3 linked regions of the Lonchura striata genome follow. The protein of the gene in region 1 binds, or shares a complex with, the protein of each later gene. Links are inferred from orthologs where the notes say so. Each region holds a gene or a part of one and is shown in the gene's direction. Other genes may lie near its edges.

Region 1 (7,196 bases):
GCCCTGTCAGCGTCCCATGCACCCTCGAGTGGTGGCAGGGCCACAGCCAACACCTGCATGGTGCCACTGAGCTTTCTGAGCACTTGTGCCTTTGGTGGCAGCAAAAAAAGCCAATGCCTTCTCAGGGTTTGAAGGTCCAGGACACTAATAGCAATGCAGAGGACAATCGCTCCCACCCAGCTCTGCAGCATGCTCCCTCATCCCTTGCTAGAACTTGTTTTCCTACATGACATGCAGTGACTTCCCACACTTCCCTCACCTCTTCCTGACCAGCCTGGCCTTTGAACCAGCTGCCTCCAGCTGCCTGTATCACGAGGGAGACCTGGGCTACTGCCATAGATGAATGAGCCGACGAGTGAGGCTCCACATCCAGGGCAGGCATTTAGACGCCAGCTTCCCATGCCTCTCCCAGGGGCTGGGAAGAGCAAGAGGCAGCCCAGCCCAGGCTGATTCCACAACAAGCCCTAGAAAAACCTTCATGCTTCCCAGCCTTGGTCTCTATTTTTAAGGCACCTAAAAGGAGGGGGGCACAAATTACAAACTTGCTGGCAGGAGAGACGGTCCCTGGGCCTGATTCAGAACCGCCTACTCATTTTCCATAGGGATTGTGGACTCCATTGGTACCGCAAGGGTCTGGCTATGGGCTTGGCCTGCCTGTGTGTGCTGTGCTGACGTGAGGATGAGACAGCAGCCATTTTCCAGGCAGAGACAAGCGCACGTACACACAGGAGGCCAAGCCAGGAGCTGCACCAAATGCTTTGCTAACCTGAGGTACTGAATCCATCCTGTTATTCCCCTTAGCAATGCCTGCCTGTTTCCCCTTGGCCACCCAGGCAGTTATGGCAGCCAGGCTTTCCTGAGGATGACCGGTTTAGGAGACAGCTGTTACCAGAGTCATCAGCGAAGATGAGCAGAACACATGCCCTGGTACCTGCAGCGTCAGACGTGAATTTCAAGCATGCCAAAACTGCCGATGACTCAGGCAATGTGTTCGTGTGCCTGAAAAGCCACAGAGCTCAGCTGTCCAGCTATTCATGTACCTGCATTTGATCAGCAGCTGTTTGTTTGGGCTTTTTGTCTTCTTTCCCTGGAAGCTTGAGTTTTAAACATGCATTCCACACTCAATTCAGCTCATCATTTCCATCCTCTTCGCTTACTAAATGACCTACTTTCTCCCCCGTAGCACACAGAAAGCGCTGGTTTGGGCTCCCTTCAGCAGATTCATTCCTGCCTCTACATCTGTGACTGCAAAAGCTTTGTTCTTGATTGTTTTGTCTCAGGCCTTTGAGCACAGGTTTTCTAAAGAGCAACCTGTCACACCAATGATACCTTAGTCCATCCTTCCCCTTAGACTGTGCTCAGTTCTCCCCACACCCATGCACTGTGACCTCCTTAATTCAGTCACTTGTGCTCAGCAAGTGGTTTAGGCACCCAGCAGTAATGCTGCTTCTGCCATGTCACCCACCCAGGCTTCACAGCCCACACCGAGCTGACAGCCTGCTCTGCTGCTCCTGCTGGGCCCTGGCTCATCTGTCTCTCCTCTGCTGGCTCCTTTCTTTGCCTGTGCTGAGCCTGAGCAGCTCGCTTTGCTTACCCAACTCTTGCAGATGAGTCCAATTACTAGAGTTCAGCAAACTGATTCCCCTCCCTGGCATTTTATCCAGCCCACTTATCCACTGAGAGTTTCTAATCCAAACAGCCCTCCCAGCACACGATGTTCCAGTGCTCCCAGGCTCTACCCAGCCTCTGTCCTGCCTTGTCCTCCCTCACATGAGCACTTGGGGGATGACATTCAGCCCCCAGGGATGCAGAATTCCCTGGGCAGAGGGAAGCAGCGTCTCCAGCAGTCAGCCCTGATGGTACAGAGCAGGATGCCATCCTGGCTAGGCTGGCAGCTCTCCAAGGAGGTGAGACAGTTTCAGCCCCTCTGCAGGTCCATAAAACGTGCTGCCATGCTCGGCTGGCCAGCTCATTCCCTGCTCAGCTCTTCTGTGCACATAACCAGCACTGTGTGCAGCTGTGTCAACCTCCTTGCTTGCTTGTGCACCAGCTGGGAAGCTGCAGCCACCACCTCTGCCCAGGGTACAGGGGGAAAGAAGGAGGGTGGGCTGTGCAGGAGGCAGTTCCTTGTGGCTGTGGGGTGCTGATCCATAACACCCAGCAGCTGTGGACCAGCAGCTGAGACTCCTTCCAGCTGCACAGGGCTGCACCTCACCACCCCCCATCGCTTCTGCCACAGTGCCACAGCCTGCAAGGCAGTGGGAATTTAGAAGAGTGCACCAGGGCACCAACATGCATCTTCCCTTCCCCACTTGCCCTACACTCCCTGTGCTGTTTTTGCTGCCTGTCCTCGCTGCCCATCCTCCTCCTCAATGCCTTCTTTTCAGTCCTGCTGGGCAGTTCCTGTCTAACTCATTGGGTCCTGACAGCAGCAGCTGGCTACTGACGTTGGCTGTCTCGTAGGCATGGTCCCTCTGAGCAGCCTGGGGTTTGCCTCGCAGCTCTCCAGAGAGCCCCAGGTTTTGGCTCAGCTCAGCTCTGCAGAGCTAACGGCTCCCGAAATCCCCATTCAGAAGCTTTCATTCATGAAACACAGGGCACCAGACCAAGTGCAGGACTCTGTCCCTCAAGGGACACCAGACTGCCAGCTGCCTGAACTAGCTGTGGCAGCAGTGCCCGGCAGAAAGTGCTGCAGGGAAAAGAACAGAAACAGCACAAACGGGAAAAGCTCTGCTGGCTGGCCAAGCGCTGGGAAAAACCGGCCCTGCAATAGTTACTGGGACCAAAGCAGGGAATGTAAACAGCCAAGCATCCACAAGGAGGTCATAACCTCAGAGCCTGGTTTCCCTTCCTCTTCTCCATCCTGTCTAATCTCCAAGAGCTGCTCTGTTTACTAGCAAGATAAGTAAACAAACAAAGGAAAGCTACAATGCAGTGATTTTTATTTTTCTGGCCAATCCACAGGTCCCAGTTCCTGGGTGCACATATGGGAGCTGTTTCTGCACACCAAGGCAGCTGGCACATGGCACTGCAGGACCAGCAGCAGGCAGCTGATGGGCACAGGCAGCCTCCCCAGCCCTGCCTGTAAGTTTGCAGAGGGGCAAAGGGGGAATGGGGTTTCCATGCACAAATGCAGAGCTGTGCAGAACTTGCCCCACGGAGCCTCTGATTTACACACTCTGGAAGAAAACATACACCTAAATCTGGGGAGAAGGAGGAGACAAGGCAGCAGGGAACCAGGACATGCCCAGTTGGCACAGTGGGGACCAACACAATGGGGCCAATAGCTGGGCAAACCCTGTCACCTTCTACAGATTTTCTCCAGGGGCAAAGGAGGGGATAAACTCATCATGGAATGAAACTCTGACTTTTGTCCAGGGCTGCAACACCCCCCGAGCACATCCAGCCAAACTCAGATGTGTGACCTTTTGCCAGGCGTTGGAGGGATAGGGCAAGCTTCCTTCCCAGGCTGCTGGGCTCTCCGGCTTCCAGGCACACAGGGGCACTTGAGGAAGCAGGAGGAGAAGAGGCATGGAAGGACTCTCAGTCCCCTGCACGCTTTGGGTGACAAATCACCTGCATTAATCACCCCATCAGAGCCAGCACAGCAGCTGTTGGTATTTTGCTGGCGACCCAGCAGTCCCGGGACAGAGAGCTCGCTGTAGGGCGAGTCCTAAGCTAACCAGACGAACGCAAAGATGTCATGAACATCCAAGGCTCTACAGGCCTCGGCATGAAGCAATCACTGAAAGCTTCCAGCATACGCCTGTTTGCTTTTATTTCCTGATCTCAAACAACAGGACACAGACCAGAGCGATAGAGTAGCACGGCAATGAGAATTATTCCATGGCTCCTGCCTGTTCCCTGGACACACTGCTCCAGGAACTAGACACAAAGGAGCTACATTCCTGCCTTATCCAGGGCCGGCTCTGGCTCTGCCAGCAAGAACAATGGGACTGCCAGGAACTGCGCCTTTCCCAGCCCGTTTGATTTGGCTCCTCGCAGGCGGCCACGGCCGCTCCAAAGCAAACGCGGCCATGGCGCCCGGCCCCGCCCGGCCGAGGCTCCGCCCACCACCGGGCGCGCCCCCATTGGCTGAGCGCCGCCGAGGGGCGGGCGCAGCTCGGCAGGCTCCGCCAATGGGACGGCGGGGGGGCGGAAGCGGAAGCGCGGCCGCCATGCCGGGCGCGGAGCGCGGCTCGGAGCTCTCGGAGCAGATCGAGGCCTTCGCGGCGCGGCTGCGGCGCGGCGGGGAGCGGCCGCGCTCCGAGGACACGGCGCGGCAGACGCTGTCGCTGCTGCGGAAGATCGTCGGGCACGGGCGATGGAGCCGGGCCGGTGAGAGCCGGGCGGCGGCGGGCGGACGCAGCGCTTTCCCCGGGCGGGCGCAGCTCCCCCAGCGCCGGGAGCGAGGCGGCGGCGGGGCCGCGGGAGGGCAGTTCCCCCCGGTGGCGGCTGTCGGGTGCAGAGGGATCCGGCGCAGGCCCCAGGCGGGGCTGGCGGGAGCTGGGGCCTCGCTGGCAGCGACCGGCGGATTCGCAGTGCCTGTCCTGCCGCGGCGGGGCCCTTCCCTGCCTGCTGTGCTCCTCACCTGAGGAGCTCCCCTGCTCCAGCCTTCCTCTCCCCTGAGCGGCGTCAGTCCGAGCACTGACCTCTCCAGCAGCACGTGGTTTCCTCTTTCAAAGGAAAGTCCAGATGCGCTGCTGATGGGCTTCCCTTGGGTCTGTGTTGTGTCCAAGCGTTTCCGACTGCAAAACCCACCAGTGGAACCGGCTGCTTTGTGAGAGGCTCTCTGCTCGCCCCTTCCTGGTGTTTCTTGGTGCTGTGGTCCTTGTGCTGGAGCAGCTGCTGGCCCTGGGATATTGAGAGGGGTGCTGGTTTGATGCTCACGTGGACTTGCTCTGGGCAGTGGTAACCAAGGCCCTCCCCTCTTCTAGGGGAGCTCATGGATCTGATCCGGACAGAGGGCCAGAGGATGACAGCAGCCCAGCCATCAGAGACAACAGTGGGCAACATGGTGCGACGGGTGCTGAAGGTCATTCGTGAGGAATATGGCCGGTAAGGTGCCCCTCTTTTTCCCTGTATCTCTCTGAAAACCCAGAACTGCCCTTTTAAGTTGCTTCTGTAATACTCCTTTAGTTTCCTTCACCTCCTTTCCCCACCTCTTCCAGAGAGGTATTCAGGGAGTTTAACACCAAAGGAAGCCCCGTTGATTCCACTGTGGGTGATGACATTTCCTCTTTAGAAACCACTTGGTGTATGTGCTGTGAGTGCATGAGAACAGTCTGTGCCCTGGCCTTGGGTTGTTCTCTCTGTCTGTGCTTAGGGGCGTGCATCCCACTGGAGCAGTAGCCTCGAGCCTGCTCCTTGTCTATGGACAGCAGTATTTGCACGTGTCTTAAGAAGGCATTTTCTGGTAGAGATTTGGGTGTTTTTCTGCCAAGACACCTATGGAAACTTTTTGGTGTGGCATGGTGTGCCTCCTGTGGGTGGCTTTCCTTCCTGTCTCTTCACATCCAGGTGTGCCACACTGTGGGGACAGTGCTCAGCCTGGCTGCAGCCCTGTGCTCCTTCCTGAGGCTGAAGTGGCCACTTCTCTCCACAGGCTTCACGGGCGCAGTGAGGAAAGTGACCAGCAAGAATCCCTGCACAAGCTCCTGACTTCTGGAGGACTGAGTGAAGATTTCAGAACCCCTTACCCCTCCCTCAGAGCTAATGTTATTGAAGCTATTAATGAAATGCTAATTGAGCTAGGTACGGATGGGTCTGAATTGCTCCTGAGTGATGATTCTTATGGAATGGGACTGATGCTTCCCTGTTCTCTAGGTGAAATAATAAGGATCTGGGAGGCTTAATCTGAAGGAACTAAGGGACCAAAGCCCTGCTGCTCCCAGGACTTAGTTTTAAGTCTCTCTGGCTTATGGGGAGAGGGGTAGATTGTGGAAGGAGCAATATGTAGGCCTGCACTCTTGGTCTTCTGGGAAGTCTTGAGTCCTGTGAAGAAGAGTGTAAAATCCCTGTGCACATATAACCTAACTCTTGTCACAAAGATACAATTTTCTTTCTCTGCAATTCTTGTGACAAATCAGGCATCTTTCTGAGGCCAAATTTGCCCCGCTATTGAACTACAAAACTGTTGAAGTTTTGTGGGTCTTGTGATTATCTGGAGTAGTGCTGACACAATCCACTCCCCTCACAATGGAGTTTTCAGTACAGCTATTTTTATATATAGTGAGAGTATAGCTAGGGAGCATGGAGCATTCAAGGGCAAGCTTCTTGGTTCCACTCCAGTGGCAAAAAGAATGGGGAGAAAAGCTGCGCCTGCTCTTCCAGTGCTAATAACTTTGTCTTAGTGAAAAATGATCTTGTTGGAGGACAGTCCTAGCAGCACAAGTGTTGCTGTTGCTGGCTGCTTTTACACCCACATCTTCCTTCTGTTACAGAGGGCACCACTGATAACATTGCTATGCAGGCACTGGAGCACATCCACTCCAATGAGGTGATCATGACCATTGGCTACTCACGCACTGTTGAAGCCTTCCTGAAGGAAGCAGCTCGCAAGCGGAAGTTCCAGGTCATCGTGGCAGAGTGTGCACCATTCTGCCAGGTAAGGCCTAGGCTGGCTGCAGCATATTGTTCTACGCATTCTTACTGAAATCTTGTGTCTGGAATCAAGATGAACATTATGGAAATTCCTCTGCAGTTGAGAAATTGGAGATTCAAGTGCCTCACTCAATATTATCCTACCCCAGCATCCTTGAGTTGAAGGGCTGTGTTCAGGTGTCATTATTTGGTATTTTTGCAGTTCAGACAAGAATTGAGTGCTGATACCTTTACAATTACACTGCAGGAGCTATGTTACAGGGAACCAATTGGATTCTCCCTCTTTTTAGGGTCATGAAATGGCTGTCCGACTGTCTAAAGAGAATATTGAAACTACTGTCATGAGTGATGCAGCTATTTTTGCTGTCATGTCTCGAGTCAATAAGGTAAGGAGGGCTCCACTGGAGGAGGGATTTCATAGCAGACGGAGTGCTTAGGCCTCTCAAATCAGCTGCAAGTCCCAGCAGTGATGGATGTGTCTCTTCACTGAAGACTCAAAATTGTAATAGTCCCTGTTCACTTCTAGGGTGGAGATTCAGTGTGAGCTCCAAGTCAGGATGATGACTGACTGAGTGGTAACAGGTTTTTCTGGC
Region 2 (6,981 bases), on another chromosome or scaffold:
CAGCTCCTGTCTCCTTGCATGTCCCAGCTGGTAGAGCAGCAGCTGAGTACAGGGAGTTGTGGTAGCCCAGAGCTCAGGCAGCAGTAATGCATTCTTCCTGTTAGCAGGTGGGGGATGCTGGGCACATGTGGTGGAAAGGAATACCAAGGAGTTCTGCAAGCACTACCCCAGAGGAACTGGAAACACAGGGGGATGCAGACAGGGTGGCCTCATGTCTGGTTCACCTTCTCAAGTCTGTCAACCCAGGATCCAGGAGCGGACGAGGCCCAGCAGTTAATCTGGCAGAAACTCTCTGCTGAGGAGAACAGGAGAAGCCCAAATGAGCAAAGAGTAGATGAATATCCTGTGAGTCAGTATCCCTGCTGTCCCTGCTTGGCCAGAGCCCAGGGCATGGGAAGGAGGGAGGCAGAAGGGTTGGGGTGTAGAATATGTCTGGCTTTCATGATTACTGACTTACTTGTGGTCTACAGTTTTATTTTTCCCTGCAGAATTTAGTTCAGTGCTCAGGTAAATGTTGTGTCAGGCACAGAGTCATTCAGATGTATAAGAGGACTGGACAATGTGCATGTCCTGGCCATTGCCTACCTCCTCTCTGAAGGGCAGGAGCTCCTCCACAGGTGCTTGGGGCAGGCAGACCCCTCTTTAGACCTGCCAAGTGAGTGTCAGCTGTCCTAGGTAAGTCCAGGACACTGCCCTGAGTGCCCAGGGTTCCATGTGCCAGGGTTCATGGCCTGCCCCTGTCACCTCTGCCACTGTGTGGGAATAGCCCAAGGAAAACCAGGCTCCTTGCCAACATGCAGTGGGCCAAGAAGAGCTGAGTTTAGGCACTAATTGCATCCCTGATCTGGAGCTGTGATGACAGAAGTCTCATAGCTCTACTGAAGGCACAGAAGGATGCTCTAAGGGCATCAGAGCTGCTGGCCACCAGGCAGGACATGTGAGGGGAAATAAGCCTTGTGTTAGGTACATGGTTCTTCCATGCAGAGTTCCTGTGACCCTCCTCTTTGCAAGTCTCACCACTCTGGGGAGCCCCTGATTCCACTCAGCCCCTGTGGGGCCCCAAAGCTGTCTAAGATAGGACTAAACCAGAAGCTACCATTGGAGATGCCTCATGGGGCATTGTGTCTGCAGAGGGAACAGTCAGGAAATAACCAAATGCTCAGAGAAAATAAATGAAAAGAGAAAAGGGTTTAAAATGCAGGAACAGGGACCAGAAAGATGTCTCAGAAAGCAGAGTATCCCCACCAGGCTCATCATTCCCAGAGTCAGTGTATGCTGCCCTGTCCAGGGTGTGTGCTCTGTCCTGGGATATCCAAGGATGAGGCAGCAAGGAAAAGTCCCACAGTCTCTATGTCTTCCCACCACCCTGCCCAGGCACTGTGGGATACTGGGATTGATAGACCTCCAGTCAAACCCAGTTCCATCTCATCTCAATTTTCATTAGGTAATTTCAGTTTTAAAAGCTCCCCTGGAATTACATTGCTTTCAGAAAATATTTGGCCTTGATGTTGCTGGACTGCAAGTTCCTGGTGAGACCAAAGGAAAACATGTCTGCAAAGCCTGAGGAATATTTATCAAGCTGATTTGGAGTTTAGTTCATTAGCAATTACCTTGATTTGTCTTCCCCTGTTCTTGCCAATTTACCAGGGCAACGTCTTGGAAACTCACCTCATTTGGAGAGAACAGGATGTAATTAGCCAGATAATCTGCTGATTCCCCTGTCAACCTCTCTGCCCGGTCCAAACACACGCAGTGGCTGTGCAGGCTGGATCAGACCTGATTTCTGGTGCTGTTTATGCACTTAGTTCCACACAGACAGGAACTAAGATTTCGTCCTGCCCTCAGGCAATGACAAATCCACCTCTTGGATCACTCCTCAAGCTGCAACCCCTGGACTGAAACCATCTGGGAGCTTTTGTTCTGGAGTTAGTTCTTCTGCCAGGGCAACAGAATTCCCAAGGGTATGCAGATACCTATTTTTGAAAAGGATGAGGATGATTTACTTCCCACGGGCAGCTCCTTTCTACTTTCTTGCTGTGTCCATCCTTGCTGCTTTTTTCCAGACCAGTAGCTAAGGTCAAGCAACTCAACTGCAAGCTGTGGCACAGCAAGGGCTCGGTCACAAATCACTGGGCACAGATGGCACTACGTAAGTGATGCCTGAACATTTTAACTGCTCAGGGAAATTTCAGGGAATGCCCAATGCTGCAGAGTCCTTCAGGAGACAGAGACTTTGTTTTCTACATCAGTCCTGGACCTGCAGTCCAATCAGAGGGGAGGAATTAGGCATGTTGCCTGTTACAGCTTTCTTCCCTTTACTAAAGACCTCTCTGCAATGCCAATGCCACGAGGGGTGTACAGCACTGCCCACAACATTGGAGCAGTGCTGTAGGTCTGTGGTTAAGTGGTGCCTCCCTTAATTTCCCTCCCTCTGCCATACTGTGTGCGTTGGGCTGATAAATATGTACCACCTTCCGCCCTTGGGAGAGGCCCTGCCACAGAGGTGGGGGTGCAAATGCCCTGTGCTTCTCTCAGACCACAGTTGAATTTGAGACTCTTTAAGTTTTTGGCTTCTCACTCAGTAGCAGATAACAGCAGCGAGGACCAGAGCAGGGGTCAATTTGGGTCAATTTGTGGGGACTGAGGGGCAGCAAGAGAGACTGGTGAGGTGACAGAGCAGGGGCTGTGAATGCCTGTCCCATGTGGAGAGGGGCAGACAACGGGGCAAGGCAGCGAGCAGCAGGTCCTGCAGCAGCCAGCACTGGAATGGGCTGTCCTGCTGCCAGGCTCAGGACTCTCCATAGCCCTTCTGCTGCCATCCAGTTAGGAGCTCCCTAGGGAGATCTTTCAGCCTGTTTTCCTGGTTTTGAATGCAGGGTGATCACACAGTGATTTCCTCGGTGACAAAGAGCAGGTGGCGGTGCTGTGAGAACTGTGCCAGGTAAATCCTGCAGCCGTGGGACCGGCGGCAGGGAGAGGCAGAAGGACTCAGCTGAGGGCAGGTTTCTGTGCTGAGGGCTGGACATGGCCCATTCCCTTCCGAGGACCCAGCTGAGGGCAGGTTTTCTGTGCTGAGGGCTGGACATGGCCCATTCCCTTCCGAGGACCCAGCTGAGGGCAGGTTTTCTGTGCTGAGGGCTGGACATGGCCCATTCCCTTCCGAGGACCCAGCTGAGGGCAGGTTTTCTGTGCTGAGGGCTGGACATGGCCCATTCCCTTCCGAGGACCCAGCTGAGAGCAGGTTTTCTGTGCTGAGGGCTGGACATGGCCCATTCCCTTCTGAGGACCAGGACAGTGTGGAAGCACCATCAGAGCCGTGCGAGGACGGAGCCTGGGCTGGGGCAGGAATGCCGAGGGAAGCGAGATCCATGGAAGCGGCAGTGTCCGAGCAGGGGGACAGGCAGACACCAGCACTGCAGCACCACAGCTGCCTCACCAAGCTGAGGGGAACAAAAATGCCACCCCAGTCCTCGGAAACCACGTCTTCTTTCCTCCCATCCGCTCTGGAAGGGTCTCTGAGCGGGCTCCGAGGGGTCCCTCAGGGGCTGCGGGTTTTGGGACAGCTTTTTGATGGCAGGTGCGAGCTGTGCACTGACGGGCTGCTTCGCATCCCGGCTGTCCTTTGCAGAAGGAGCCTCTGGACATTTGGAAACGCAGCACAAAGACATCGCTGCTAGGAAGTGTATCAGAAAACATCTCTGCTCCCAAAAGCAGACACCACCAGGGTCACACACCCCGGGGCCACCTGGGGGTGACGCCAGGAGGAAGGAGAGGATGGAGCGGCAAGGCGCAGCTCCCGCCCCGCTCCCGCCGGGACGCGCCGCCCCGCGCTGTTGTGTCCCCGCCGGGCGCCCGTTGCCGCTCCCGTCGCGAGCGGAAGCGGAAGCGGCGGCGGCCGCGTGCGGCGATGGCGGCCCGCGGTACCGCGCGGCGCGGGGCGGGCGGGGGCTCCGCCCGCGGCCCCGACCCGCAGGAGGAGCCGCCGCCGCCGCTCCAGGCCGTGCTGGTCGCCGACAGCTTCAACCGCCGCTTTTTCCCCATCTCCAAGGACCGGCCGCGGGTGAGAAATCCCCTCTGGGTGCTGCTGCCTGCGCCGCGCCGGTGCCTCCGGGGCCGCCTGTCCGGTGTGCACTGTCCCCGGGAGGCCGGGGTGGGCAGGGATCCGGCGAGAGGCCGGGCTGGGCCGGGAGGGGGCGAGGCTTCTCCCGCCCTCCTGCGCTCCGGCGGTTCTCGCCCGTGGGAGTTTCTGTCCGAGCATCGGTCGCTGTGTCGGTGCTGACCGCTTTTCCATATGGCGTGGCGAGCTGCGCTGTCGGCTCCTCGCCTGTGGCTGGTGCACGGCTGGCAGCGGGTTTGGATAGGTTTGTTTCTGATAAAGGAATAAAACGTAATCTTGGCTCTTTGCGGCTGTAATGCGTGAAAGGATATGGCCAGAAAAATGGATGGGGATGTACTTTAATTATCCAGCTCAAAGATTGTGTTAAAGGAACATAAAAGGTTTCTGGAGACTTTAGGTCTGAATAATTATCTCACCTCCTTTGCTGATTAAGTGTTGGTGGTGCTTGTAATTATACACGCGAGCTCCGGCCTGAAATGAAACAGCACCAAAAATGAATTAAGGAATGGTATGCCATCACTCAGGTGTGACTCAGTAACTCAGTTTAAAAGTGTGAGTTGAATCTCAAGTCAAGAGAGTACTTACTTCACTTTAGGTTGAGGGTTTTTTCCCCTTGTTTAATTCTGGACACTCATATTCCTCTGGCTTCATCATTCATGTCTGACAGGTTTTTCTTGAAGCAGTCAAAGCCTAAGTCAGGGAATCAGCACTTTTTTTTTTCCAGTGTCTGTCATTTATCTGAGTCTTCTTGAACAGTTTTCAGTGATAACTTCACTTTTTTATGCCTTCCTTTGTGAACTGAGGATCTACCTCTAGAAAATTGCAAGTTAGTTCTTACTGTTTAGTTCATCTCAAAAAGATTTTTATAAAACCTGGTGAAGCAGTTACTTGTGTTATGTTTCTGGTACTATTGATGACATTAAATCCCCAAGTTGGAAGGGACTGTTGCTGATGTTGGCTGTTCAGCTATCTGTATGGATTTTTTGGTATTGTTTTTTTTTTTCAGGCTCTTTTACCTATGGCAAATGTGGCCATAATTGATTATACCTTGGAGTTCCTTACAGCAACTGGAGTGGAAGAAACCTTTGTTTTCTGCTGTTGGAAGTCAGCTGAAATAAAAGAGCATTTGCAGTAAGAATTCTCTTCTTCTTTTTAGTTTTATCATGGAAAGTATTCATCTGCCCTCCAACAAGCCTCAAAAGACCTCACTGATTCTTATGCAAGAGACACGCTTTCAGCAGTGGTCTCCCAGCATATCTCAGAAGAGACTGTCCCTGCTGTGTAGGAGGGTGGTTGTGCAGTGTGTTAAAAGGATTGAGTGTTGTGGGACAGCTCCTCAGTTTCCCTTCTGAATGTACCTGAGCTCGGCAATAGCAGGCTCACTGTCACAGGATGCTGCTCTTTGTAACCCCTTGTAGGTGTGGCACACACTGGGACACTGTGTGTCTGTGGGAACAGCCTCTTTATGGCTTCCTGATGGATCTTTTCCTTCTTGCAGAAAATCCAAGTGGTGCCGGCACACGTCTCCCAACACAGTGCGCTTTGTCACCTCGGACCTGTACCGCTCCCTTGGTGACGTGCTGCGGGACGTGGATGCCAAGTCCCTCGTTCGTTCCGACTTCATCCTGGTCACCGGCGACGTGGTGTCCAACTTCAACATATCCAAAGCCCTGGAAGAGCACAAGTAGGTGCTGGGAGAGTGGATGCTTGCCTGGTGTGCTGAGACTGCAGTCTGTAGTTCTCTGAGGAGTGTTCTCATAGTTCTGCCCTCCTTTCTCAGGTTGCGTCGTAAGATGGAAAAGAATGTGTCAGTGATGACCATGATATTCAAGGAGTCCTCGCCTGGCCACCATGCCAGGTGCAAGGAGGATGACATTGTTATTGCCATGGACAGTGCCACACACCGTGTCCTTCACTACCAGAGGACGCAGGGGCTGAAACGATTCCGCTTTCCTATGGTGCGTCTGGAGCCTGGCAGGTGGAAAAGTGCAGCCCACCTGAGGAGATCCTCCTTGAATGAGGGCTGGGGAGCTGTCCCAGCTGCTCCTCTTGGAGGAGCAAATGATAGGAAGTAACTTGGGGTAAACTGGCTTTTTTCCCCCTTTAATCTTTATTTGAGGTGTGGTGAAATTGTGCTGGGACACACATGTTTGTGACTCATTCCAGTTTGGGCATGAGGCAGATGATTTCTCAGAGTTCAGGTTTTGCCCTTTATTTCCTTTCCATGATGTAAAACAAGGGAGAGATTTTGTGATATCACAGGGGCTCCCAAATTGGGGTGCATATACCACTACCATACACAGACCATTTTTACCAAATCAGTTAGGTTGGAAAAGAGCTCTGACATCAGAGAGTCCAACCTTTGATCAGCACCTTGTCAACTAGACCATGGCACGTCCAGTCATTTCTTGAACACCTCTAGGGGTGGGACACCAGCACCTCTCTGGGAAGTCCATTCCAGTGTTTAACAACCCTTTCCTTTTTGAAGTGTTGTTTGTTGTTGAGCCTGACATGGGTGGAATTACAGAGGTGCAAGGAGTGGTACCTCCTTTTACCTGTTTGTTCACCTAGTAATATAGTAAATGCTCTGTAAATGTCTGTGGAGCCTCTTTCTCCATGAGATAGATGGGCCAGTTTCTTTCTTCAACTCAGGACTAAGGCTGTGATTGTATAATATTTTCATCCTCAAATCAGTAATCAGGAGATTATTTCATGTCTTCAAATGGAAGTACAAACCACTGTAGTAAACAGAAAAGGAAAAGCCAAAAACAACTAAAACCCAACAATACAAAACTGACTCCCAGCTGTAAAAAATTGTATTTAGATTTATCCGTTTTTGTTTTTTTTTTATACAGTTGTAGCTC
Region 3 (7,004 bases), about 9.6 Mb from region 1:
GAAAAGGCAGCTTCTCTCATCACCTCACCCATCAGCATCTTAGTCTGTTTAAAAAAGAAAAGGCAACAAATACAAGGCACATTGTTACTACTTTTCCAGGATAAAAACCTAGCAGCTTAAAGAGAAGAAATTGAAGAGAGTGAGAAAGTCCTATATGCATAGCTTACTCTCAAACTGGTAATTGTAATTCTCAGGTGACTGGCAAAAATAGAGAAATATTTCAGCTGTTTCACATTGTAGAATTCATAGAAAAAGCAAAATATTTGCCTTACTCATTAAATTCTATTACATGGGGGTTAAATAAGAACAATAAAGTGGCTCAGCAGGAAAATATTCTTGTTTCACATTGTATGAAATACTATGAGACAGCTGAAGGTTGTTTTCAGCATACAAATGTATACAGCTTTGTGAAGCTGCACTCTCCTCCCACTCTGTTTTTTCCCAATTTTTACAGATTTTTAGCCCTTGTAGCTAAAAACTATTGAGAAACACCAGCCTTTGTGTTTTAGACAATGTATAGGAAGCCATGACATGATGAGATCTTGTCTACAGTGTGGCAACAAAGGACCACAGCTAACCACGGACTCTGCAGCAGCTGCAGCAAAAACAGTACAACTAAACCCATCTGATAGGGCAGAACAGAACAACACAGAGTAGGCTCCACTGACTATCTCAGATTTGTCATCCATGTTACAAAGAAAGATGCAAGATGTTACAAAGAAGAAACTTTATAGATATGCAGTATTCCCTCAAGCCAGAAAAAGCAATAAAAATGGGGCTACAGAACATTTTAATACCCAAAGTATTTGGCAGTATCAGAGCAAATTCCCTGTAACATAGAAGAGATGATCGGGAACTTGTAAAACAAAAGAGAGCAGAGGCTAAGACTGTCTGGAAAGAGGGGAAGAATATTAACTCTTCCAAGTTTCTGTATCATTGCAGCCACAGAAACATAATGCTGCTCATGTGTTCTCAGTAGTCTCACTTACAAAAAACAGGTTAGCCAGAAAGTCATCCTATATTCCAGCCTATCTAATGAAGTTAGGAGAATAGGAATGCACAACAGACAGAACATTAAAGTGAGCCAAACAAAGGAAAATTCTAATTTACCTACCTCAATAATTTTCTTAAGGATCTGTCTGAATCGAAGTGTCAAAGCATCAGATTTTTTCTTCAAGAGGTTACGACCTGTTTGGGCTCCTTTCAAACGAGCCTTCATGATGGTCTGAGCCCTGGTAAGCAGAGGAATAAAGAAAAAGCATCCTGCATCATCTGAAGAGATTAGGAAAAAACTTAGGTGAAGTTTTCTGACATGTATATGACTGAAATTATGAAGTAACCATGAAACACCATTGCAGTAAAACAGGATGGCCACTTCAGGACAGAATTTTAGATTCCCATTTAAAATCAAGGGAATTTATATTTATCTCCATCATCAATGAGAACTACAAGGTTATTATCTGTGAAGTCAAAACTCATGGAAAATTGACAAGACATCTTTCAGTGCTTCTATAATAGGAAATAAGAGTTTTCATTTTTCTTCATGACTTGGAAGTACCAGAAATCAAACTACTCCAAATACCCAGTGTCGCTGTGACATGGGTATTGCTTTTAAGTTCTTTTACTGCCATGCCACCTTCTCAAAATCAGACAAAGCAAATTCTTCATGTGGTCATAACAGTTGATGCCATGTTTTGATTTTACAGAGCAAGAAGATGCAGCAGTTGTACATTCTGATTTTCCTTATGCTTATATGCTGCATAGGAGATTTACAAGCTATCAAAGACAATCAAAAGCAGCGACAATTTAAAGGGATATTAGTGAGTTAGCTGTAGCTTTCACCTTTACATCCAGTAGCACACTTACAGGTTTCTTGTGTGAAATTAGAAACTGCACTGCTTTCTACATGCAACCACTGTGCACAAAGGACACCGCTTAAGTCAAGTTCTTACACACTTCCTCTCTGACCTTGGAAAAAATAAGTATAATTAAGATTCTTTCTACACAGTGGAATCCATTACTGACCACATCTACTAGTATATGATGAGAGTAGCTCCATTAACATCTACCAAATACGTCTAACTGAAAACCATTAATACTTTATGAATGTTTATGATTTAAAAAAAAATCAGAGAGTAAAAAGGGAACTTTCCCAACAAGCAGGTGGCTGTCATCACCTTGAACTAACTTGTTTGCTCTGTTCACCACCTGCCAGAGACTGGCTCGTCTTCTAGTTCAAGCAAGACCTCACTTGCTCTGAGAGTGCAATAAACAAAGTTTTGTTTACTCTCAAGGAAACTGAGCAACTTCTGGAATTGAAGACATCCAGCACAGAAGAAGAAGCTCATACCAGCAAGCTACTTTATAACAACAACAAAAAAAACCCCAAACCAACATAAAAGGTAAACCTTGTGAAATTCTCTTCTGTCAGGTAACAAAATTATTTGTTGCAGACACAGGTCATCTTTCTTTTGCCATTCTAACTTATATTTCTTTGGGAACAGCACCCACATTATTGCCTATCACCTCGTTTAAAAACGGGCTTGTAAATATTAGGTCTTTGTATATGACCACCCTCATGCCACAGTGACACATCACCTCACAAAACCAAGTACCTTTCAAAAGTGATTGAAGTGCCCCCTCCTTGCACACCTAAACTGAATGGAAAAATGCACTACCAAAGAGCAGGAGTGAGGCCAGATGACTTAATGTATGCAATAATTCATTCCCGTGTATGCAATAGTTTATTTCTAAACTAAATTTCAAAACAAAACCTTTGCCATGTAATGTATTAATCTTTCCATATAAACTGTTACTTTTTATGTCCTGAGCTCCTACAGAGTGAATAATTATTGTTTTATGTTTGAGGGTTTTTGTCCTTCAAGGCATCCTTTTTATTATAAAGATTATGTGCAGGCAACCCATTTTTATGCAAGAAGATTTAAAATAGCCTTTCACCTTAAAGCAAAGTCTGTCTGTCCTGGAGGGTTCTCAAGAGAAACTAAACAGTGTTATTAAACCAGCAATTTTATTCAATTGTTTGCTTTAGTTCCAGTGTTGTTGGCAGCTTTCTAAGCTTTCTCAGGAGACATCTGATTTCATGACAAACAGTTTGCTGTCTGGATCTGGAAAATTACCTGACTGTCCACTACACTGGGAGCACTTTACTTCCTTCTTTTAACGCGCTATGGCCAAGCTCTCGTGAAGCAGTATCCTCTGTTGCAAAGTTATGGGAAGCTGTCGTTCCGTTTGTCCATTTTTCCTACACATACATTCCACAAATTGTTCTTTTTTAGGTAAGGCTTGCGTAATCACATTATTTTAAATATCACACCGGCATCTCGGTGCCGGGCCCTGCCACGTCCCTCTAAGGCCAGACAGAGCTGACGCGGAGCCGGGAAGCAGAAGCTGAAGGTTGGGATCAGGGGCCCTCGGCGGCCCGTCACAGAACCGGGGGAGCCCCGCTCGGCGGCGCGGGGCAACCGGCGGAACGACTGCGAGCGCCGAGCCCCGGTGAGGAGCCCCGAGCGCCCCGAGAGCCGCCGCTCCCGCCGCCTCGGCAACGGCACGGACCCCCGCGCTCCCCCCGGGCGCTGTCCCGACCCGTCCCGGCGGACACTCACATCCGCGAGGGGAAGATCTCGATGCGGTCCTTGGCCGACATGGCTGCGGCGGGGCCGGCTCGGGCTGTCTCCGCTGTCACCGCCGGGGCCGGGGCCGGGACCGGCCGTCGCCGCCGCCCTCACGTGACTCGGCCCCGCCCCCGCGCGAGGCGGGGCCCGCGCGGCGCCGGGCGCGCCGCTCGCGTCACGTGTCTGCCGGGGCCGGCAGGAGGAGACGCGATTGGCTGAGCCCGAGGCTCCGGCCTCCCGCCGCCAGGGGGCGCTCGAGGGGATCGCGACCCCTCTCTCCTCCTCGGCGTCGCGGCAGCTGCGCAGTGGGGCGGCGGCGGCGGGGCGCACGCGGCGGCACGAGCGGAGCCAGCGCGGGACTGGGGTGCGCGAGCGCAGCGCGAGACCGCCCGGGCCGCAGCCAGGTACCGCCGCGCGCGCGGCCCGGCCCTCGCGCGGGGCCCGCGGCCGGGGGGGCCGCGCCGCTCGGGGCCGCGCCCGGCAGCCCGCGGGGCCGCGCCGCTCGGGGCCGCGCCGCTCGGGGCCGCGCGCGGGGCCGCGCCCGGTGCCGCGGGGCCGCGCCCGGTGCCGCGGCGCCCGCGGGCAGCGGCCGTGCCGGCGGCGCCGCTCGGGACCGGCTCCGTTTCTGCGGACGCCGTGCGGCCGAGAGGGCCTCGGCTGAGGCGTGTCCAGCCGCGGGAAAAGCCTCTGAACGCCAGCTTCGGCGCGGTGGGCCTAGTGCTGCTCCTGGGGAACAGAAGGCCAAAATAAAAACCTTGTGGCTGGGGAGAGGAGCGGAGTGGTGTTTGTCCGCTCTTGCTCGCTGTGGCTCGGGTTTGTCGCTTTGCAGTGCGGCTTGCTTGTGTACCCCAGAAGTACCGGCAGGATTGAGCAGAGCTGCATTCAGTAGACTAGAAAGCCAGACCGTAAAGTTTTCCTTTTTAACCTTGGAGTTCTTTGTTCAGCTTCAGCTTACATAAGTTATACAAAACATTCAGAGTGTTTTTATAATGTTTTACTAGTCTGTATTTCCCCTTTCTACAAGTTAAGAATTAAAATAAGGGTGGAAATGGTCTTCTTAATTGTGTGGACATGTGTACATAGCATTTGTCATTATCTGTCTACTCTGATTTTAAATTTTCTTATAGCTAGGAAGCATGAGCAAGGCTGTAAAGATCATGACTTAAAACTGGTGACTAAAATCTTCTGAAGGAGTGAAGCATTTGACTTGGCATCTTGGGCTGCTGCTGGAAAAATTTCCTGTAGAAAAATTTCTGTGTGAAACTTCAAGGCATAGACAACTGAACTAACTTAGACAAAACTTAGACTTTTAAGAGCATATGGATTCATTATCAAAAAAATAAAGCAGTTTAAGTATTCCTTCTTATCACTGCTTGATTATGAAATATTGCTTTTGCCTTTTTTTTTTTTTAATGTATAATGAAGGAATTCTGGTTTTTTTCATGTGACTTTGTTGGGTTTTTTCCCCTCCTGACTGTTGGGGGGCACTTTTTTCCCTTTTCAGTACTTCAGGCCAGGCTAGTTCTGTTCTAAATAATGCCTTTGCTTTCTTTGCTGACAATTGGCCTTTGGAACAGGTCTTGCAGGATTACTCTGAACATCTTGTGCTGAGTTTAAAAGTCATCTAGAGTCTGCTTCTCCTCAGTACTACAGAAACTTCCATCTTGCCTCTTATTTTGTTAGCCTCACATGCTGTCTTATGTGCATACAAAATGCTTCATGAGCACTGCATGCTTCTCTCTTATGTCCTCTTGCTCTTACAGTCCAGTTGATGATCCTTGAGAGTCCCAACTCAGAACTCTGTGAAAATGTTACACTCTGATGACTTTACATGCACGTGAGGTGTGCAGTCCCACCTTTCCACCACTCGAAGAAGCCTTTCCAGTGTTCTGTGTATAGGCAGTATGACAGGTGAAGTGTGTAATGAAGTCTGGGTAGCAAAGCTTTTTCTCCATTAAGGCAAAAAAATAGCATCTTAGGAAATGGTTGTGGTAATAGTATTTGAAATACAAGATAATTTATTACTTAATTTGTACTAAACCCTAAGTACAACCTTATCCTAATTGCTACTTTTTCTGCCACTGTTCTTCTCTATTGTCCCCAGTCTTTGCTGGTCTATTGCCGTGTTTGTAGGAGGAGGCAGTGATGTACTGTGAAATAAAACCTTTGATTTTTCTGCTTGAATTCCAGAATGCCGGGACTAAGCTGTAGATTCTACCAACATAAATTCCCCGAGGTGGAAGATGTAGTGATGGTCAACGTTCGGTCCATTGCTGAAATGGGAGCCTATGTCAGCCTGCTGGAGTACAACAACATCGAAGGCATGATCCTCCTCAGCGAGCTGTCCAGGAGACGCATCCGGTCCATAAACAAACTCATCCGCATCGGCAGGAACGAGTGCGTCGTGGTCATAAGAGTTGACAAAGAGAAAGGTATCTGGGCCTGTGGTGGGCTCTGTCAAGATTGAATTTGTAGACAGAAATGCAGATGAACTAAGCAGGTGTTTGTGGGTTTTGCTAGGACTACTTTTTTTGAGCATTGAAATAAAATAGACCATCACTGACCATACCTATGATTGTTCTTCTATTCCTCTTTGTTCTTTGGGAATTGGGTTAATGAAAGCAAATAAACATCAGTAAAAATTTAAGTGGGTCCTCACCAGATCAGTCACTGGACTATAGTGAAGTGAAATTTTCTTTTGGTATCTGTGTAGATTTTCTAAGTCAGCTGAAGAGAAGCATCATTTGCTGTAGATTCCTAGATGCTAAGCATTTAGTGCTGACAATCCATCCTGTTTGTTAACAAGTCTCAAACCTTATTGATAAAGGTGATGACAAGTATGTAATCATTGTGAATTCTGTAGGGAAAAGTTAGAATTGTACAGGTAGTTTTAGTTTTCCTGTCTTTTGAACATTTGAATCTTTGAAGGTTTTTTAAATGTAATTTCTATTGAGAAAATTTCAGATTTTGATAATATTATTCCACGCAATCTCTAAAATCTCTGTCCAGATGTACAGAAATAATAAACACTGAGCATGTCTCCTAGAAATATTAACTGTTGGTATGATGTTTCTCAAGTTAAATGCTCTTTTAGAATACTTCTGAGACTGCAGTTAACTCTGAGAATAAATAATGAATGACAGGATAAGGAAAAGCAGAGACAAAAGAAGGGCAAGAATAAACTTATTGCAGATAAATCTGAAGTGAAATAAGTTTCCCAACATCTCTAATGAAATTATACTTTTACTAATTAATCTTGTTTTCATATTAACAGAGAAACACATCTGGAATTCATCTAGTGGTCTTTTATTGAACTTATTGGAGAATGTATAGTTTGTGAGAAATAGGTGGAGGCCTTTTATAATTCAGAAG

Evidence for each region. The genes of interacting proteins can lie anywhere in the genome.
Region 2: the proteins of EIF2B2 (region 1) and EIF2B5 are in contact, whole or in part, in a cryo-EM structure (PDB 6O81), measured with the Homo sapiens proteins. The link is inferred for Lonchura striata from reciprocal best matches to the Homo sapiens genes EIF2B2 and EIF2B5. Residues at the interface, in NP_055054.1 of Homo sapiens: Ser12, Glu13, Glu16, Glu20, Lys23, Arg24, Asp283, Lys287, Phe288, Val289, Ala290, Pro291, Glu292, Glu293, Leu295, Pro296, Phe297, Thr298, Gly300, Asp301, Leu303, Glu304, Val306, Ser307, His309; in NP_003898.2 of Homo sapiens: Glu81, Thr84, Ala85, Thr115, Leu117, Lys186, Glu187, Ser188, Ser189, Ser191, His192, Pro193, Thr194, Leu245, Lys294, Glu295, Tyr296, Asp312, Arg315, Arg316, Trp317, Tyr319, Pro320, Ala325, Asn326, Asp329, Thr336, His337, His340, Asn341.
Region 3: the proteins of EIF2B2 (region 1) and EIF2S1 are in contact, whole or in part, in a cryo-EM structure (PDB 6K71), measured with the Homo sapiens proteins. The link is inferred for Lonchura striata from reciprocal best matches to the Homo sapiens genes EIF2B2 and EIF2S1. Residues at the interface, in NP_055054.1 of Homo sapiens: Glu92, Arg95, Gln128, Ser131, Asn132, Glu135, Ala136, Glu139, Val142, Glu143, Glu145, Glu149, Asn150; in NP_004085.1 of Homo sapiens: Leu51, Ser52, Arg53, Arg54, Ile56, Asn60, Lys61, Leu62, Arg64, Arg67, Lys87, Ser91.

What each region holds. Positions count from the first base shown.
Region 1 is NC_134608.1:23,212,777-23,219,972, reverse strand, and holds the start of EIF2B2 (translation initiation factor eIF2B subunit beta), read left to right. Parts: upstream 1-4,158; 5' UTR 4,159-4,178; coding exon 4,179-4,338; intron 4,339-4,937; coding exon 4,938-5,058; intron 5,059-5,605; coding exon 5,606-5,754; intron 5,755-6,443; coding exon 6,444-6,607; intron 6,608-6,893; coding exon 6,894-6,989; intron 6,990-7,196. UniProt on the Homo sapiens protein: Acts as a component of the translation initiation factor 2B (eIF2B) complex, which catalyzes the exchange of GDP for GTP on eukaryotic initiation factor 2 (eIF2) gamma subunit.
Region 2 is NC_134612.1:18,704,439-18,711,419, forward strand, and holds the start of EIF2B5 (translation initiation factor eIF2B subunit epsilon), read left to right. Parts: upstream 1-3,907; coding exon 3,908-4,060; intron 4,061-5,123; coding exon 5,124-5,248; intron 5,249-5,615; coding exon 5,616-5,801; intron 5,802-5,897; coding exon 5,898-6,075; intron 6,076-6,981. UniProt on the Homo sapiens protein: Acts as a component of the translation initiation factor 2B (eIF2B) complex, which catalyzes the exchange of GDP for GTP on eukaryotic initiation factor 2 (eIF2) gamma subunit.
Region 3 is NC_134608.1:32,778,528-32,785,531, forward strand, and holds the start of EIF2S1 (eukaryotic translation initiation factor 2 subunit 1), read left to right. Parts: upstream 1-3,930; 5' UTR 3,931-4,036; intron 4,037-5,822; 5' UTR 5,823-5,823; coding exon 5,824-6,064; intron 6,065-7,004. Other genes in the region: ATP6V1D (V-type proton ATPase subunit D), read right to left, coding at 1-44, 1,115-1,232, 3,624-3,664. UniProt on the Homo sapiens protein: Member of the eIF2 complex that functions in the early steps of protein synthesis by forming a ternary complex with GTP and initiator tRNA. This complex binds to a 40S ribosomal subunit, followed by mRNA binding to form a 43S pre-initiation complex (43S PIC).